2 linked regions of the Arabidopsis thaliana genome follow. The protein of the gene in region 2 interacts with the protein of the main gene of each other region in a biochemical or structural test. Each region holds a gene or a part of one and is shown on either strand. Other genes may lie near its edges. The genes, in order: SWI3C and BRM.

Region 1 (9,683 bases), on a different chromosome or scaffold from region 2:
TGCAGAGTGCTACTCGGTTGTTTGGATCAACAATAACTTCTACAGATTTACTCAATGTGTCTGGGGTAAGGATGAAGTTAACCCAATATTTGCATAAGTGTATGGTAGGTTCAGCCATGTCAGACTTGCTGATGTTTAATATGGATGTCTAACGAATCTATCAGGTAGTTCCTCTAGAGGTAGTCAATAAACTTTTTACTGCATGCAAAAGTGGTGATTTCGATATTGCAAACAAGGAAGTGGATAACATAGTTGCAGAAGGATATCCTGCATCTCAAATCATCAATCAGGTTTTCTATTTTCCTCTCTTATTTTTACCCCATTTAAGTCATGCAACTGTGGCTATAACCCCTTCTATACAACACTCTTTCAGCTATTCGATATAGTTGCGGAGGCTGACAGTGACATAACAGACATGCAAAAGGCTAAGATCTGCAAATGTTTAGCTGAAACTGATAAGGTAAGACTTTCCCGTACTAATTTTCCTTACTTGTGTCTCTTTTAGAGCCTCAAGTGAGATCAATTACCAACATCTTGACTCAATTATATTACGGGTTTTGAGTGAAGTTCACATCTTAGATTTTTGCCATTTGAATCTGTAGATATGTTGCAATCTTGCTAAGGATGTCTCTGTTACCTCTAGTGATAATAAAATATCTCACATCTTTTATTTTTAATGTATCCAGCGACTTGTAGACGGGGCGGATGAGTACTTGCAGCTTCTGGATGTGGCAAGCAGTACAATTTGTGCCCTCTCAGAAATGGCTCAAGACTTCTAATGCAAATTCTGCTTGAATTGGACCTGTGCCTTAAGACTTATGAGACTATCATAGTGTAGGTTTTGATAAAAAGTTGGAGCGTTATGACGTTTTACTGGTTACTTATCTGTTATTGTTTTAAGAAAAACTATTAGATATATTTATTGCATCATTACTTAAGTCTATTTGTTTTGTGGGTAAGATCATTAAATATCATTACAATGTGAAATACATGATCGAATCAAAATAATTAACATCTCTTATAACCAACAAAATCATGACCAGATAGCTTGATGGACATTGCTTCTGTTGTAAGAATTAGTGAATCCCTTTATCTATATCCAATATTGACACCGTAAAAGGAGTAATGTGTTTCTTTACTAGTTGGATATATATACAGTGTAGATCCCAAAATGTAAATATAAAAATAAAAAATATAGTAGATTTATATAATTATATTTTTCTATTTATTACCTCTAATAATCAAAATAGTAAAATCCTACGAAAATGTAATAAAATACAAGAGGATTAATATACATATCCACATAAAAGGAAGATTCGGATACACATCCAAACTATAGAAAACATTAGTAATGCCATAAATAAATAAAAATGCTGTCAAGACACAAAATTCGTTGAATGTTATAGTCTTCACATAAAACTGTCATAAATCTGGATACGTTCTAAAAATAATTGATCTAATCTAAATCTATAAGTAGTTTCTTATTAGTAGAATCCTTATGAATCTTAATTTGATCAAGACAGAAACGCTTTTGTTTACTTTTACCTAATGGTCGATGGTGACGATTCTTTCAAGAGACCCGGAGCTGTGCCTTTTAAGTGGGAGATCCGACCCGGTGTACCTAAAACCCGACCCGGTGATGATGATCCAGCTCTTCTTCAACCACCTCCTCCTAACAAACTTCCTCCTCTCAAATTAAAATCAACTCCGCCGTCGAATTCGCCATCTCCGTCGTCTTCTTCTTCTTTCTTCTCTGAATCCAGAAGCCGACCAGTCTCTCCCTTCGCTCCTCCTCCGTCTTTCAAGCTGAAATCGCCTTCAGATTCCGACTCCAACTGTTCAGCATCTCCGACTCCATATTTCCGATCTTCTTCTCCTCGTGCCGGTGGCTCATTGCCTCGGTGTTTTTTTCCCAAGTCATTATTTGGGTTGAAAAAGAGTAAGAGCGGCGATTTAAAAAAGACCGGTCAGCAGGAACCATCATCAACAACATCGGAGTCTGACAATTTCTATGAATCGGGAACAACGCTTTCTCCGTCGGAAGAAGATTCTAGCCAGGGATCGCCGGTATCTTCGAGGTGGAGTTCGCCGAAATCGTCCTTCTCTTCTCGCCGTGGTTCGCCGCTAAAACGGACTGATTCGGATTTAAGCTCTTATGAGAAAAAAACCATGTTAATGATAGCTCGTTCCCGCCTTGGTTAAATGGTTAGGCTTAAAAAAAAAAAAACATCTTAGAGATTAATCAAATAAAAATGATTTTGAGTTTTTCATTGCGACAAGAACGAATATGTTACATGTAGATTTGTAATGAAATTGTCTATATATTATCGTCAAAATGAATCGAGTTAAAAGACCCCTAATGTTTGAAGAGTAGAGAAATGGTTGTGGGAAAGAGAGACATTAAGATTGGTGACTGTTTTAATTCACAATGATGATGATGATGGTTTGATACTACAAGACACTAACTTGGAACAAGACTACGGTCTCAAAGCCAAATAACTTATCTTTAAAAATAACAAGGTGAAATAAATATGGATACTGATAAGCTAAATAAGCTAGAGAAAGATGGATCTTAGTTTAAGCCTAAGCCGGACCCTGAGCCTGAACCTGTGGAAGACCTAACCATCGGGTGACTAAACGAAGGCTGGTTGATCGATGCTGCTCCAGCTGCTGCAGGGTTATTTAGTTGGTTGTTGCCAAACATGACGTTTGGTGAAGCTGTTGATCCTGCATTGGTCTGTATTGCATTGAGAGGTAATCTCGGGCCAAACGAGAAAGCTTGCTGTTGTTGTTGTTGTTGTTGTTGTTGTTGTTGTTGTTGTCGTGCCATGAAATGCATCTGTGCTTGAACTTGCGGGTTGTTGCTGAATCCTGGGATTATGCTTGGTTGAGAAGTTGCGGAAGCTTGTTGTTGCTGATGTTGCTGATGCATGAGAGAATTGATGTTGTTACCACCTGTGGATAGAGACATGCCTTGGAGATTATTAGTCTGTGGAGAGATTCCTCCAGGAGATCCAAATCTTGCTGAGAGCATACGAGCCCGTTCTGCAGAAAATCTCTGACGGGTTTTCTCTACTTGTTCGCATTCTTTCATCAACAGTGTTTCAATTTCTGCGAACTGCTTTAATTTCAGCTCCATCCTCTTCAGCTGCGGTTTTTACTCAGATCAGCAATAAACACTATACAACAAAATAAATCAACTACCTACAGTAATTCTCATCAGCAACTGGTTCTGCTATTTTACCTGGTGATTAACGATATTAGCAGAAAGTCTCTGGATTTCGCGTTCCTCATGATCAGCAAACAATTTTGCTTTTGTTGCTGCAGCTGATAGACCGGCTCTAAATGCTGCCATAACCTTATCCTGTGGCAGTGGAGTCTGCGCTTCTGCTCCGTTTTGGCTTGATGTTTTGTGTGCTCCTGAGTTTTTTTTACAATTAAAGCATGTTGGTGTCGCAGATTAGGTTAAAACAAAAGAGCAAAGAATCACTGTAAAGAGAACAATCAAATAACTTCCTTACCATCTTGCTGTTGATTTTCTCCATCAAGCAAGCTGGCTTCTTTCCCTTGCATTCCCTCAGATTTCATCCTAGATCAAGAAGTTTCAGAATAGTCCATAGTATTATTAAACTGAATCACACTACAGAGAATTTATATTGGATAGAGACTATATAATACACTAACCTATCGTCCTCAGATAAAACCGAGAGGGATTCATGGGCACAGGACGCAGCAACTCGAGGTCCAACAGCTGATGCCAAAAATGCAACCTAAAATATTTTGGTATCAGGATCCTCATATCTCCAAACTTATGTGCAATACAGGACCATTCTCCACTCAAAATATGCATACAATTGAGCTCTCAGATATAATCGATTCATGGATCAGAGATATCTCTAACTGGTGAGATCATAAGGATAATAAGAAGCGCATATGAAATCTGCATCGGAAAAAAGTTCACAAACCAATGCCATAACCGGATTCGGAGACTTCACAAATGGAAGCTTGATCTCAGTGTCAGAACCTTGCTCGGAATATCCTGCAGACGCAAGCGGACAATTAGTATGGCATGTCAAAGGAAATAACTATGGAAAGTAATTCATTGCTACAAATTGAATAAAACAAAATCACCAGGTAAATCCCCATTTGAATCTGTTCCTTTGTGGTCATATCCATTTGTAGGGTTTTCCGTATTAGTTACACCAGAAACCTCAACATTATCTAATAGACCATCCTCCACAGGTAATCGAAGAAAATGAAGAATGCATTGAGCTTTTGACTTGGAACCAACATGATCAGCAATTTGAACCCAATTTTCATTGTAGAGTTCCACAGCTTCAAGAAGCAAGAGAGTTTCCTGATCAGTCCAATTGTCTCCATCTTGATCGCCATAAAATTTCATTGGATCCACTCTTACAAAGTCAAGACAAGAATGTCCAACAACAAATCTTCCATGGTGAAAACAATCACAGCATAAGAGTATATCCCCCTGTAAAGTAGAGATGAAGATCCTTTAGTTAGAAGCGGTCCAGTATCCGAGACAGTAAGCAAGATAAAGCTTGGAGTCTATTACATCACTGGGTGCAAAAAAGAATCAGATAATGATACACAAAGAACAGTACGTAAGGGGAAGCAGCCTAAGAACCTTCTTTTGCGATTGGAAGTACACAGTTGGAAGCGGTCGAGAACAATGGTTGCAATGACTATCACATAGGTGTTCACGAATTCTGATGTCCAAGTCAGGGCTGTCACCATCCAAACTTGGCAAGGATGAATAGACTTCACCCCCCTTGTGTCTACAGTTGGGCTTGTCAAATTTGATCAAACTATCAATAGATGTTAAAGCAGCAGACGGCACATTGACCTCGCCATTTGTGTCCTCCCTCACATCCGATACATCTCTCAAAGGGCCAGGATGTGACTGGGCAGTGGCACAGTAATTGATTATTCCCCAGTGATCAAGAAAACGGAAAACTCGTGCAAAATCTTCAATGTCAACACCATCTACCAATCCTTGGCAATCAGAAATCGTCAGTGTCTTTTCAGGGTTCTCTACATATTTGGAAACAATGGCGTTCCTGAATTCCATATAACTTTCGGGTGTATGATTTGGCGATTTCCCAGAGAAAAACTGTGGCACCACTTGCCTTTCAAGTCGATCTACTGTGTTTGGTGCAAACCAATCTGCTCAAATGTAACAGCAAAAGTAGAAGAATAAATTCGAGCATTGGGAACAAAAATATCAGAAAATAAAAATAAAATAAGAGGAGAATCTCGATATATTTGAGCCATAGGACTCCAGGAACAAAACCCAAACGAATTAGAAGAACATCACTTGCATAGTCTATTCAAGTTGTACTTCTGAGATAAGACACCTAAGGCTACTTCAAGCCAGCAGGTACTCTAATTTATCATGTACAAAAGTTATAATACCTCTTCCTTTCCATCAGACAGAACATGGGAACATAGAGAAACATCTGATATGAAATTGAGTCGCGTTCAGATTAATGTAAACTAAGAACCAGGCACTAGACAAAAGGAAGATAAGAACTTATACGTTAAGGAGATACCGGCATACAAACCTGTTTTGACTAATTCTCATTCCAATCACAAGATATATACTACAATACTACCAACCAGCAAAAGCTGATGCTGCATAAAGCCTAACCTCTAACATAAATGCGCGTATCAAGAGGAAGAAAAAACACACCTGAATGCATAGGCAAGACATGAACCAGATCCCCAAACCGTTTAACAACTCCTTCTCCATCCATAATAGGTGGTGGAGAGATAACATAAGCCGAAGACGATCCATCACTCCTCTCAAGATCAAGAGAATCAGCAGGTACAGTAGATAACGCTTGCAATTGCCCAAACGAAATGTTCTCCAGAGCTGGAAGTGAACCTTGCCCTCTAGTCTCCCCTATCAAACCAGCTCTCTCAGCCGCCACAACAGCCATTACAGACGCGTGTGGCCGGATCACAACACGCTTAACCACTGCCGGGAAATCAGAGATGCGCGAACCAGAATCTTCAACTACCTCGCCAATACCAAGTCCCGGATCGGGAGTTGCGCCGCCGTTTTGCTGAAGCTCATCGGCATTTTCAACGTCATCCATTTCTTCGTTGTTGTTGTTGTTATTCTCTTCGTCTTCTTCCTCCATATCTTCCTCCTCTTGTTTCGGTTTCCTCGCCGCCGATAACCCCCCTCTCTTCTTCCTTTTCCATTTCCCTCTTCTATCTGCGACAGAATTGTAAAAAGTGTAATTCAATTCACACGAATTCTCGAAATACCCATCACTACGATCTATGTGGGTAAGTCAAATCCCAATTTAAATTTGGATTTTGAGAGAGATAAAGATGTGAAACAGCAATTTACCTTCAGAAGCTGGCATTTTTGTGGATGAAGATAGAGAAATAGAGGTTTTGGGTTCTGTGGAATCGAAGCAAGACCCTTAGTAAAAAGAATTGCTTTCTTTGTCTTCTCTCCTCCGAGTCGTTCTGATTTCCAGCTCTCGAGCTAAACACCAAACCTTTTTCTCGCAATTTCTTTCACCATTTCCTTCATTAATCTCTATATATTAATTCATTCTCCACGACGACCTAACCTTCTCGACAAACAAGAGGGTTCTGATTTCGAAATTCAAGCTTCGTTGACCAATCCAAATTTTGGTTTAACTTCGGTTAAAGTCAACTTTACTTCGGTTTTATTTTTCAATTTTGAATGAGAAAAACCGAATCAATTATTTAGTTCGGTTCTTAAAGTTCAAATTGGTTAAACCGGTTTAAATTGATACATTAGTCGACCGTCGCGCATTAATACTGGTGTGGTGGTTCCGTTAACGAGCAACGGCGATGAAGAGACCTCGACCTACATCTCAGCCGTCGATCTCTTCCACCGTCAAACCACCACTGTCTCCGCCGGTCACACCGATTCTCAAACAGAAGCTACACAGAACAGGAACACCTAAATGGTTCCCGTTAAAACTAACCCACACGGAGCTGACGTTGCCGTTAACTTTTCCGACGGGTCAAACATTCCGGTGGAAGAAAACTGGAGCGATTCAGTATAGCGGAACGATTGGGCCTCACTTAGTCTCTCTTAGACAACGTCCAGGAGACGACGCAGTTTCCTACTGCGTCCATTGTAGCACAAGCCCTAAATCCGCGGAGCTTGCGTTGCTCGATTTTCTCAATGCTGAGATCTCGTTAGCTGAGCTATGGTCTGATTTCTCGAAAAAAGATCCTCGTTTCGGAGAGCTAGCGAGACATCTCCGTGGCGCTCGTGTGTTGAGGCAGGATCCGCTCGAGTGCTTGATACAGTTTTTGTGCTCATCGAACAATAACATTGCGAGGATTACGAAGATGGTGGATTTTGTTTCGTCTTTAGGGTTACATTTGGGTGACATTGATGGATTTGAGTTTCATCAGTTCCCATCATTGGATCGATTATCTAGGGTTTCTGAGGAAGAGTTTAGAAAGGCTGGTTTTGGTTACAGGTGATTTCATCACTCTCTAATGGTTGCATTATGTTGAATTAGACATTTAGGCTAAAACTTTGCTTGAAGCTTATACTTTTATTTACTCTGTGGCTATACATTCATAGAATTGAAGCTAATGTTTGGTCTAAGCTAGATAATCATTGTGTGGCCGTTTCTCTGATTGGTTCTGATCTCATTTGAAAACTCTCATTCTGGTTTATCTTGTGGTGAGCAGAGCCAAATACATAACAGGTACAGTGAATGCTTTGCAAGCAAAGCCAGGTGGTGGTAATGAATGGCTTCTTTCTCTGCGCAAAGTCGAACTCCAAGAGGCAGTTGCTGCGCTGTGTACATTACCTGGTGTTGGTCCGAAGGTAGCAGCTTGCATAGCTCTGTTTTCTCTTGATCAGCATAGTGCTATTCCGGTTGACACACATGTCTGGCAGGTAACAAAGTCCATCGGTTTCTATGTATTGTACTTACTTAATTGAGATCCAATTACATAATGGTGATGATGACTTCGGGCAACTTTTTTTTTGTTCTGTTTTGGATAATGGATCAGATCGCAACAAATTATCTACTGCCAGACCTTGCTGGTGCAAAACTGACACCTAAACTCCATGGCCGAGTTGCAGAAGCCTTTGTGAGTAAATATGGTGAATATGCTGGTTGGGCTCAAACATTGCTTTTCATTGCCGAGTTACCTGCACAAAAAACTCTCTTGCAATCGTTTTCCCAGCCCATTAACAAACTGGATGAGTCTGCAGAAGTTAATGAAACTAGCTGTGATACGTTGAAGCCATGACTATGTGTCTACCTAAGCTACGAGGAATCGTTTTCACAACCCATTCTTGATGCGTCAAGTCCAGAAACTTGACCTTGGAAGAGCTAAGAAAATTCTGAAGCTGATGCAGTATTTGGCTCCCTGGCAAATGAGCGTAGTTATTTGTTATGATCATTGTTTACTAAGGAACCAATCTTGATATGTACTTGTAACTTTACATTCAAACTTCCAAATTAAATTCTAATTGTTTGTTCCCTTTGCAATTCTCTTGATTTGAAATGAGAATTTTTTCCTTTTATCTATTTCTTTTGTCAAAAAACAAAACTAAATTTCGTCGAAATTAAATTTCTATAAGAAGCCCAATAAAGCGAGGCCTAAATTAGGCCCAAAATACTATTGGAGGCGAAAAAGAAAGTCCGGCTGGATTTTCCTCCAAGCCACCGTCGACTTTACTTAGTACTCCCTCTCTCTCCCCTCCTCCTTCCCAGATTTCGTCTCCGTTCTGAAAAAAACTCCAAATTCTACTCTGAAACCCTAAGTTTCCGATGTCGGTAAGTTTGATAATTCCCAGTTAATTTTAATTTCGGAGACCTCAGCTCTATTAGTCTTACGCATCAATGGTTTAATAGTGACTGAACGATAAAATTGATTGATATTTGTGGCGATGCAGATCTTCGAGTACAATGGAAGTGCTGTTGTTGCTATGGTAGGTAAGAATTGTTTCGCCATCGCCAGTGATCGGAGACTCGGTGTTCAGCTACAGACAATCGCCACTGATTTCCAGAGAATCTCCAAGATCCACGATCGTGTCTTCATCGGTCTTTCTGGTCTCGCCACCGATGTTCAAACACTGTAAACTATCGTGCAAGCTTCTAAATTTTTCATATTTGTTTGTTTTTACATTTTGAAGTGAACTGAGAAGATTTTTTTTCCTCTTTGTTTTGTCTTTTGATGTTTGAAGATACCAGCGCTTGGTGTTTCGTCATAAGCTTTACCAGCTTAGGGAAGAGAGAGACATGAAGCCTGAAACTTTCGCTAGTCTTGTCTCAGCCATCCTTTACGAGAAGAGGTCAGTGTGCTTGTGTTGTTTACTTATGTAGCTGTATTAGTTACCTGTTGATTTGCGATGCTGCTTCTGACTCTAGTTTTAATTCTGGTTAGGAATGATTTGCTTAGTTTGTCTCTGAATCATGATTTAGAAAGATAATCAGATTGGTTGCTTTATTTCAGATTTGGTCCTTACTTATGCCAACCTGTGATTGCTGGCTTGGGAGATGATGACAAGCCTTTCATTTGCACGATGGACTCTATCGGAGCCAAGTATGTTCACATCTATTCTTGGTTATAATCTCTGATTTGTATGGACGATTTTCGCTCTTACATGTTAATGTCATTAGCTTGGTTAGTGTGGTCTGTAT
Region 2 (7,944 bases):
AGAAAGAGAGAGCTGAAGCAGCAGGCATTCCCAGGATTCAGGTTATTGAGCTCTCCACGTTTAGCAATAAGCTTAAATGAGTGCATATACTCATTGGAAAAGAAACAAAGCTTTCCTCTTTATTGTATTCTACGGCATTCAACGGAAACTAAAAACCAAACATGTTTAGGTAAGATTCAGTAAAAGAGTTGAACTTTCAGTACTACCCATTATAGAAGCTTTTCTGTGACCTATAATTCATCCTTAGTAAGATCATTCTTGTTACCATCACCATCTTCGTGATCTTTCCTTTGCTCAGCTTGAAATTTGTCAAAGACATCTTCAAATGGAGGATCTCCAGGTCTTCTAAACTCTTGCTTCCCTATCTTGACCTCGTAAGCTTCTTCTTGGCTCAGCACGAATTCCCTTAGCTAATTGAAAGATATGATTGTGATGTTAGATTTTGACTAATCCACTAAACAAAGTTTTCAGCATTGTGTGTTTTCTGTGGCTTTTACCTCAGTCACAAGCTTCCCATTTTGCATATTGAACATCACTGTGCTTCGATCTACAGCCATGAATCTTACTCCTATCCCTCCTGTTCTTAAAACTTTTGTCCATTTCATAGCAATATCAATCACCACATCCTGATTGAAACATATAAACAGATCACTATTCAATCCCCTGAAGCAACTGGACCCATATCGAATTCAGAGAATTTTGAACAGTAACTGAAACTATAACTTAAGGACCCCAAATTCACGATTCGATTTGGATTTTAGTTTACCTTGGTACGGGGGACGCCTAACCGGAGCTTGACGAAACCGACGACGGTTCCAAAAGTCCGTTTAGCCATTTCCTCTTGGATCTGATCGAATCCCATATTGGTGAAATCCGGAGGCGGATCAAATTCCGGGGTCGTTGCTTTCTTCCCCCACTCTTTCCATGACTCGTCTTCTTCATTGTCTTCAACGTCGTCTAGGTCATCGGAGATCTCGATCCGTCGCTTCGTTGCTTCGGCGATCCGGACAAATCCGTGAAAATTCATAAAAAGAAGGAGGCCAACAAGTAGAATCAGCGAAGAAGAACGAACGATCTTCTCCATCGTTTAACAAATTTATTCAGGAATCAGAAACAGAGGAAGAGAGACTGCATCGGCAACGGCATTTCTATATCAGTAAAGCTTCTACAAACTCGCACACAAGTCACAAAACCATAATAATGTGACTTTTTACTTGTTTCGGGAAAAAAAACTATTAACGACATAAACTGAACCTGCTGGTTCAAAACTGTTCGCCGTTTTTCTATCTTAAAATAGAACTGCGTGCCAACTATTGACGTAAAGATGGCAAGCATATCAAGGCTGAAAGATGAAAACGACACGAGGTTGCACCGTAAATAAAACAAGGGTAATTGTATGATTCTCTCTAATCTACTACTGCACTACAGAAGGTAAAACTAAAAGTCAAAATTTGTCTAATTTTAAATTCAAATTAATTAATCAAGTAAAACAAACATAAGTCTAATTTGATTTCCAAATTTGTTTTTTTTTTTCTTTTTTTGATTTCCAAATTTGTTTATAGTAGTATCATTTTAGTATTCTTATTACCCAATACGGAAACAAATATTTGAAATAAACATGGAAAAATTAAAAGTCATTCCATTTGGTTAACAAAAGGAACGTTTGGTAAATTCACACGTGTCTCATCGTCATTTGTGCAACTGACTTGTATAAGGAAGGGTACTTGTGGTAATAAAAGCGAAAACCGAGGGGTGGCCTCGTGAAACGCATTTTCCGTGTTCCAACTGTATCGAGGCGTGGGACCTACAATCAAAAATAAAATAAAATTAATGCCCCTTCCAAAAAAAAAAAGAAAGAGAAAAAAAAGAAAAAGGGAAGTAAGAAGCCAGCTAGGGTTTGACTGCGAGAAATTTCTGATCTGCGTGAATTTCTCAAAGAGAGGAATCGATCATCGATTCCGTGGATTTCGTTTCCCTCCCTTTTTATTTTTATTTTTCGAGAAGCCATCTCAAAGGATCTGAGTTTATACCGTTGCATCCCCCGCGACTTTCGTTTTCCGATTTCCCCCAAATTCGATGCAAATCTAAGAAGAGAGAGAAATAGAAAGGTGTGTGCGCTTCAACCGACTCAGTGTCTCTCTCTCTCTCTCTCTCTCTCTCTCTCTGTTGCTATTTGAGGTTTTTTCCTTTGCCTCGGGGGCTCTCGCTGTCCGAATTCTTTTGTAGGGATTTATTGGGTAGGGTTTTTCCACTTTTTTTTTGTCTTCTTCTACTAGCTTCGTTGTGCATTGGGTTTAATTGTTTCCAGTGTAGTGACTGTCAGATTCTTCGACCAATTGCATGCAATCTGGAGGCAGTGGCGGAGGGCCCGCTCGGAATCCGGCCATGGGTCCGGCTGGTCGGACTGCTTCCACGTCATCCGCTGCTTCTCCTTCTTCTTCCTCTTCATCTGTGCAGCAGCAGCAACAGCAACAGCAACAGCAGCAACAGCAACAGCAGCTGGCGTCTAGGCAGGTAAAGGATTCTCAAGTCTCTGTTTGGTTCGTTATGACTTAGGAGGGATAAAATGCTTGTTTGTAGTGGCTAATGTTTGTCTGTTAAACTTGCGGCTATTCAATTTTAGTGGGACTTGACTGTTTATCAATTCTGTGTAAAAGGAAAGTAACCAATATCTTTAAATTGAAGTTGTGTAATGGTAGCCACTTGGAGAACATGTTTTGTTCATTTCCACATATATATATAGTTGCTCTGAATTGTGGATTATTGTTCATTTGATTGTTACTAATTATTATCGTGCTTCTGATATGGCAGCAGCAGCAGCAGCACAGAAACTCAGATACAAACGAAAATATGTTTGCATATCAACCTGGTGGGGTTCAGGGAATGATGGGCGGTGGCAACTTTGCTTCGTCTCCGGGCTCTATGCAAATGCCTCAGCAGTCTAGAAATTTTTTTGAGTCTCCTCAGCAACAACAACAACAACAACAACAGGGTTCTTCTACCCAAGAGGGCCAGCAAAATTTTAATCCAATGCAGCAAGCGTATATTCAGTTTGCTATGCAGGCTCAGCATCAAAAAGCACAGCAGCAAGCTAGGATGGGAATGGTGGGTTCATCAAGTGTGGGAAAGGATCAAGATGCACGAATGGGAATGTTGAATATGCAAGACTTGAATCCGTCTAGTCAGCCCCAGGCCTCATCATCGAAGCCATCGGGCGATCAGTTTGCTCGCGGTGAAAGGCAGACTGAATCAAGTTCTCAGCAAAGGAACGAAACAAAATCTCATCCTCAGCAGCAGGTGGGTACCGGACAACTAATGCCTGGAAATATGATAAGGCCAATGCAAGCACCACAGGCTCAGCAGCTTGTCAATAACATGGGAAACAACCAACTCGCATTTGCACAACAGTGGCAGGCAATGCAGGCATGGGCGCGTGAGCGTAATATCGATCTCTCACATCCTGCCAACGCCAGCCAAATGGCACACATCCTTCAGGCAAGAATGGCTGCTCAACAGAAAGCTGGTGAAGGCAATGTGGCCTCACAGTCACCATCTATTCCAATCTCTAGCCAGCCGGCTTCATCTTCGGTTGTTCCAGGTGAGAATTCACCACATGCCAACTCTGCTAGTGATATCTCTGGGCAGTCAGGATCAGCGAAGGCCAGACATGCATTATCTACTGGCTCATTTGCCTCGACTTCCAGTCCCAGAATGGTCAATCCTGCTATGAATCCCTTCTCCGGCCAAGGGAGAGAGAATCCAATGTATCCTCGACATTTAGTTCAGCCTACAAATGGGATGCCCTCAGGAAATCCCCTGCAGACTTCTGCAAATGAGACTCCTGTTTTGGATCAGAATGCATCTACAAAAAAAAGTTTAGGTCCTGCTGAACATTTGCAAATGCAGCAGCCTAGGCAACTGAATACACCGACTCCAAATTTAGTAGCGCCATCTGATACTGGTCCACTCAGTAACTCGTCCCTTCAGAGTGGACAGGGGACCCAACAAGCACAGCAGCGATCAGGATTTACCAAACAGCAACTCCATGTTCTCAAAGCCCAGATACTGGCATTTAGGCGTTTGAAGGTTTTCAGCTCTGACTTTTTCCTTATGTCTTCATTTTTATTGTATGTTTTGCTGGAGATGTATGCCTATAAATAACGTGTCTGCAAGCCAGGTTGAATGTTTTTAATTGCTTTTTTTTGACAGAAAGGGGAAGGTTCTTTGCCTCCGGAGCTTCTTCAAGCTATTTCTCCACCACCGCTTGAACTACAGACGCAGAGGCAAATATCTCCTGCCATAGGGAAAGTTCAGGATAGATCTTCAGACAAAACTGGAGAAGACCAAGCAAGGTCGCTAGAGTGTGGCAAGGAGTCTCAGGCTGCTGCTTCTTCAAATGGACCAATTTTTTCTAAAGAGGAAGATAATGTTGGAGATACAGAAGTAGCTTTGACGACAGGCCACAGCCAATTATTTCAAAACCTGGGAAAAGAAGCTACTTCTACTGACGTGGCTACGAAAGAGGAGCAACAGACTGATGTATTCCCTGTTAAGTCAGACCAAGGAGCAGATTCTAGTACTCAAAAGAATCCTAGAAGTGATTCTACAGCTGATAAGGGAAAGGCTGTTGCATCTGATGGAAGCCAATCTAAGGTTCCTCCACAAGCAAACTCTCCCCAGCCGCCCAAGGATACAGCCTCTGCCAGGAAATATTATGGACCGTTGTTTGATTTTCCCTTTTTCACTCGAAAACTTGACTCTTATGGGTCTGCAACAGCCAATGCCAATAACAATCTCACATTAGCATATGATATTAAAGATCTGATTTGTGAAGAAGGTGCAGAGTTCCTTAGTAAGAAAAGAACAGACAGTTTGAAGAAGATAAATGGTCTGCTAGCAAAAAATTTAGAAAGGAAAAGGATTAGGCCTGATCTTGTTTTACGGCTTCAAATTGAAGAGAAAAAGCTTAGGCTATCTGATCTTCAGTCTCGTGTTAGAGAGGAAGTAGATCGACAACAACAGGAGATAATGTCCATGCCGGATAGGCCGTACCGCAAATTTGTGAGGTTATGCGAACGGCAACGCCTAGAAATGAATAGACAAGTACTGGCCAATCAGAAAGCTGTCAGAGAGAAGCAGCTGAAAACCATTTTTCAGTGGCGTAAGAAACTCCTTGAGGCTCATTGGGCTATACGTGATGCACGCACTGCTCGTAACAGGGGAGTGGCCAAATACCATGAAAAGATGTTGAGAGAGTTTTCAAAGAGAAAAGATGATGGCCGCAACAAAAGGATGGAGGCCTTGAAGAATAATGATGTAGAAAGATACAGGGAGATGTTGCTGGAACAGCAAACTAATATGCCTGGTGATGCTGCTGAAAGATATGCTGTTCTCTCTTCATTTTTGACCCAAACCGAAGATTATCTTCATAAACTTGGAGGTAAGATTACTGCCACAAAAAATCAACAGGAAGTGGAGGAGGCAGCAAATGCTGCAGCAGTAGCAGCGAGATTGCAGGTATACATACTGCTTTCTCTACTCCACAGCGAATATCCATTACACTCTGTAGATAATTCTTCAAACTTTAACTTAAATGTTGACTTTTGCGTGTTTCAGAAAATAGAACTTTTTCTTTTCAAAGGTATAGTGGATATATAGTACCTTACCTGTTTCCGTTTTTGACGCAGGGGTTGTCAGAAGAAGAGGTCAGGGCAGCAGCTACTTGTGCTCGAGAAGAAGTTGTGATCAGAAATAGATTTACGGAAATGAATGCGCCAAAAGAAAATTCATCTGTCAACAAGTAAGGGCATTAGTCACACAAAAAATGATTAAAATAGGGAATTAGCAAAGTACTAGTTGTAACTCATAATTACCAATGCAGCTGAATACTTAAAAAGTATGTGCTTATCTGTAAAATGCTGATAATCCTGCACATCCATATGTGAGAGAATTCTACAGATCACAAGATTAGGAATAGGCGCCGTGGGTGATGTCTAACTCTGTTATGTCCAACTCTAGGTACTATACTCTGGCTCATGCTGTAAATGAAGTGGTTGTAAGACAACCTTCAATGCTTCAGGCTGGAACTTTGCGTGATTACCAGCTGGTATCTCCTCCATCTATACTCTATGTTGTTGCTTTTTTCTCACTGTCATGCCACGTTTTGATGGTTTCTAAGGTTTTTTGCTCTGTGCCAATCAGGTTGGATTACAATGGATGCTATCGTTGTATAATAACAAATTAAACGGGATCTTGGCTGATGAGATGGGTCTTGGAAAAACTGTTCAGGTTAAATCTGTTCCCGATTTGCAGGGATTCCTGGATTTACTTTTCTTTCGCCTTTGGTGACCAATAAATTATTATATTGTCCTATCATAATATACTAATTGTTTTGTACAGGTAATGGCACTGATTGCTTACCTTATGGAGTTTAAAGGGAATTATGGACCGCATCTCATCATCGTTCCCAATGCTGTTCTGGTGAATTGGAAGGTTTGTGTTTCTGATAGACTCTCTTATGATTTTCCACAGAATCAATGCTTAGAACCAAGGGAGTATTTGAGACCCCAAGTCTCCCAACTCATAATTATCTCACTCAGTTCCGCGAGAACCCACAAGCCTCTTATATCCATTATCTAAGCTTAACTTTGACTCTAGCTAACTAGCTGTTAGTTGCGCTGACATGGCCATATCCTGTTGATGAACTCTTCTGTGTTCTTTAGAATACGTATAAGTTTTTTTGCTATCTTTCGTTGACTTCTCTCTGGTACCTGATTAAAGTCCAATGGGTTTTCTTCTGCAGAGTGAACTCCATACTTGGCTGCCATCTGTTTCATGCATATATTATGTTGGTACAAAGGATCAACGTTCAAAATTGTTCTCTCAGGTAAAATTTGAAAAAGTTTCTTTTGCTCCAGATGTTTTGAAGACGTTAATTGATACATCCCCTGTTCTCTTTAACAGGAGGTTTGCGCCATGAAGTTCAATGTCCTCGTTACGACTTATGAGTTCATTATGTATGATCGATCAAAACTCTCAAAAGTTGACTGGAAATATATTATAATTGATGAAGCACAACGGATGAAGGACAGAGAATCTGTTTTGGCCCGAGATCTTGACCGGTATCGCTGCCAGAGGAGATTACTTCTCACTGGAACACCTTTGCAGGTTGGTAATAGCTGTATAGCTACTTGGGCATAAATCAGGACATATAACAAATGGAAACCAAGATTGTATAAGCTGTTTACATTATTTGACTATTCTTATCCTGCTTTTATTAAATCTTGCAGAACGATCTGAAAGAGCTTTGGTCACTATTGAACCTTCTCCTTCCTGATGTCTTTGACAATCGAAAAGCATTTCATGATTGGTTTGCGCAACCCTTTCAAAAAGAAGGTCCTGCGCATAATATAGAAGATGACTGGCTGGAGACTGAAAAAAAGGTCATAGTCATTCACAGACTTCATCAAATTTTAGAGCCATTCATGCTCAGACGCCGTGTTGAGGATGTGGAAGGGTCACTTCCTGCTAAGGTAGGATCTATCTTATATTTTTGCTGTTATTTTCCGTCTAGATATTTCCTCTGATTATGCTTTTGGGTTGCAGGTTTCTGTAGTCTTACGATGTAGAATGTCTGCTATTCAGAGTGCCGTTTATGATTGGATTAAAGCGACTGGAACTCTTAGAGTTGATCCAGACGATGAAAAACTTAGGGCTCAAAAGAATCCGATATACCAAGCCAAGATATATAGAACTTTAAATAATAGGTGCATGGAGTTGAGGAAAGCCTGCAATCATCCTTTGCTCAATTATCCATATTTCAATGACTTTTCCAAAGATTTCCTCGTAAGGTCATGTGGAAAATTGTGGATTCTGGACAGGATCCTTATAAAGCTACAGAGGACAGGCCATCGTGTATTGCTCTTCAGTACAATGACTAAACTT

What was found.
Region 1: the proteins of BRM (region 2) and SWI3C form a complex in vitro, tested with the Arabidopsis thaliana proteins (one study listed by BioGRID).

The regions. Positions count from the first base shown.
Region 1 is NC_003070.9:7,617,584-7,627,266, forward strand, and holds SWI3C (SWITCH/sucrose nonfermenting 3C), read right to left. Parts: upstream 6,584-9,683; 5' UTR 6,396-6,583; coding exon 6,380-6,395; intron 6,242-6,379; coding exon 5,711-6,241; intron 5,185-5,710; coding exon 4,646-5,184; intron 4,490-4,645; coding exon 4,132-4,489; intron 4,040-4,131; coding exon 3,966-4,039; intron 3,771-3,965; coding exon 3,685-3,770; intron 3,590-3,684; coding exon 3,522-3,589; intron 3,421-3,521; coding exon 3,245-3,420; intron 3,149-3,244; coding exon 2,573-3,148; 3' UTR 2,418-2,572; downstream 1-2,417. Other genes in the region: EMB1968 (ATPase family associated with various cellular activities (AAA)), read left to right, coding at 6-65, 165-290, 374-460, 740-838; AT1G21695 (hydroxyproline-rich glycoprotein family protein), read left to right, coding at 1,549-2,202; OGG1 (8-oxoguanine-DNA glycosylase 1), read left to right, coding at 6,856-7,499, 7,717-7,927, 8,044-8,286; PBC1 (proteasome beta subunit C1), read left to right, coding at 8,811-8,816, 8,936-9,117, 9,227-9,334, 9,496-9,585. UniProt on the Arabidopsis thaliana protein: Component of a multiprotein complex equivalent of the SWI/SNF complex, an ATP-dependent chromatin-remodeling complex, which is required for the positive and negative regulation of gene expression of a large number of genes.
Region 2 is NC_003071.7:18,920,964-18,928,907, forward strand, and holds the start of BRM (transcription regulatory protein SNF2), read left to right. Parts: upstream 1-1,569; 5' UTR 1,570-2,237; intron 2,238-2,313; 5' UTR 2,314-2,340; coding exon 2,341-2,514; intron 2,515-2,811; coding exon 2,812-4,086; intron 4,087-4,209; coding exon 4,210-5,517; intron 5,518-5,687; coding exon 5,688-5,800; intron 5,801-6,018; coding exon 6,019-6,106; intron 6,107-6,201; coding exon 6,202-6,288; intron 6,289-6,399; coding exon 6,400-6,492; intron 6,493-6,802; coding exon 6,803-6,886; coding exon of another isoform or gene 6,887-6,901; intron 6,902-6,963; coding exon 6,964-7,167; intron 7,168-7,289; coding exon 7,290-7,532; intron 7,533-7,605; coding exon 7,606-7,944. Other genes in the region: AT2G45990 (ribosomal RNA small subunit methyltransferase G), read left to right, coding at 1-80; AT2G46000 (LDL receptor wingless signaling/trafficking chaperone), read right to left, coding at 231-410, 498-626, 767-1,084. UniProt on the Arabidopsis thaliana protein: ATPase subunit of a multiprotein complex equivalent of the SWI/SNF complex that acts by remodeling the chromatin by catalyzing an ATP-dependent alteration in the structure of nucleosomal DNA.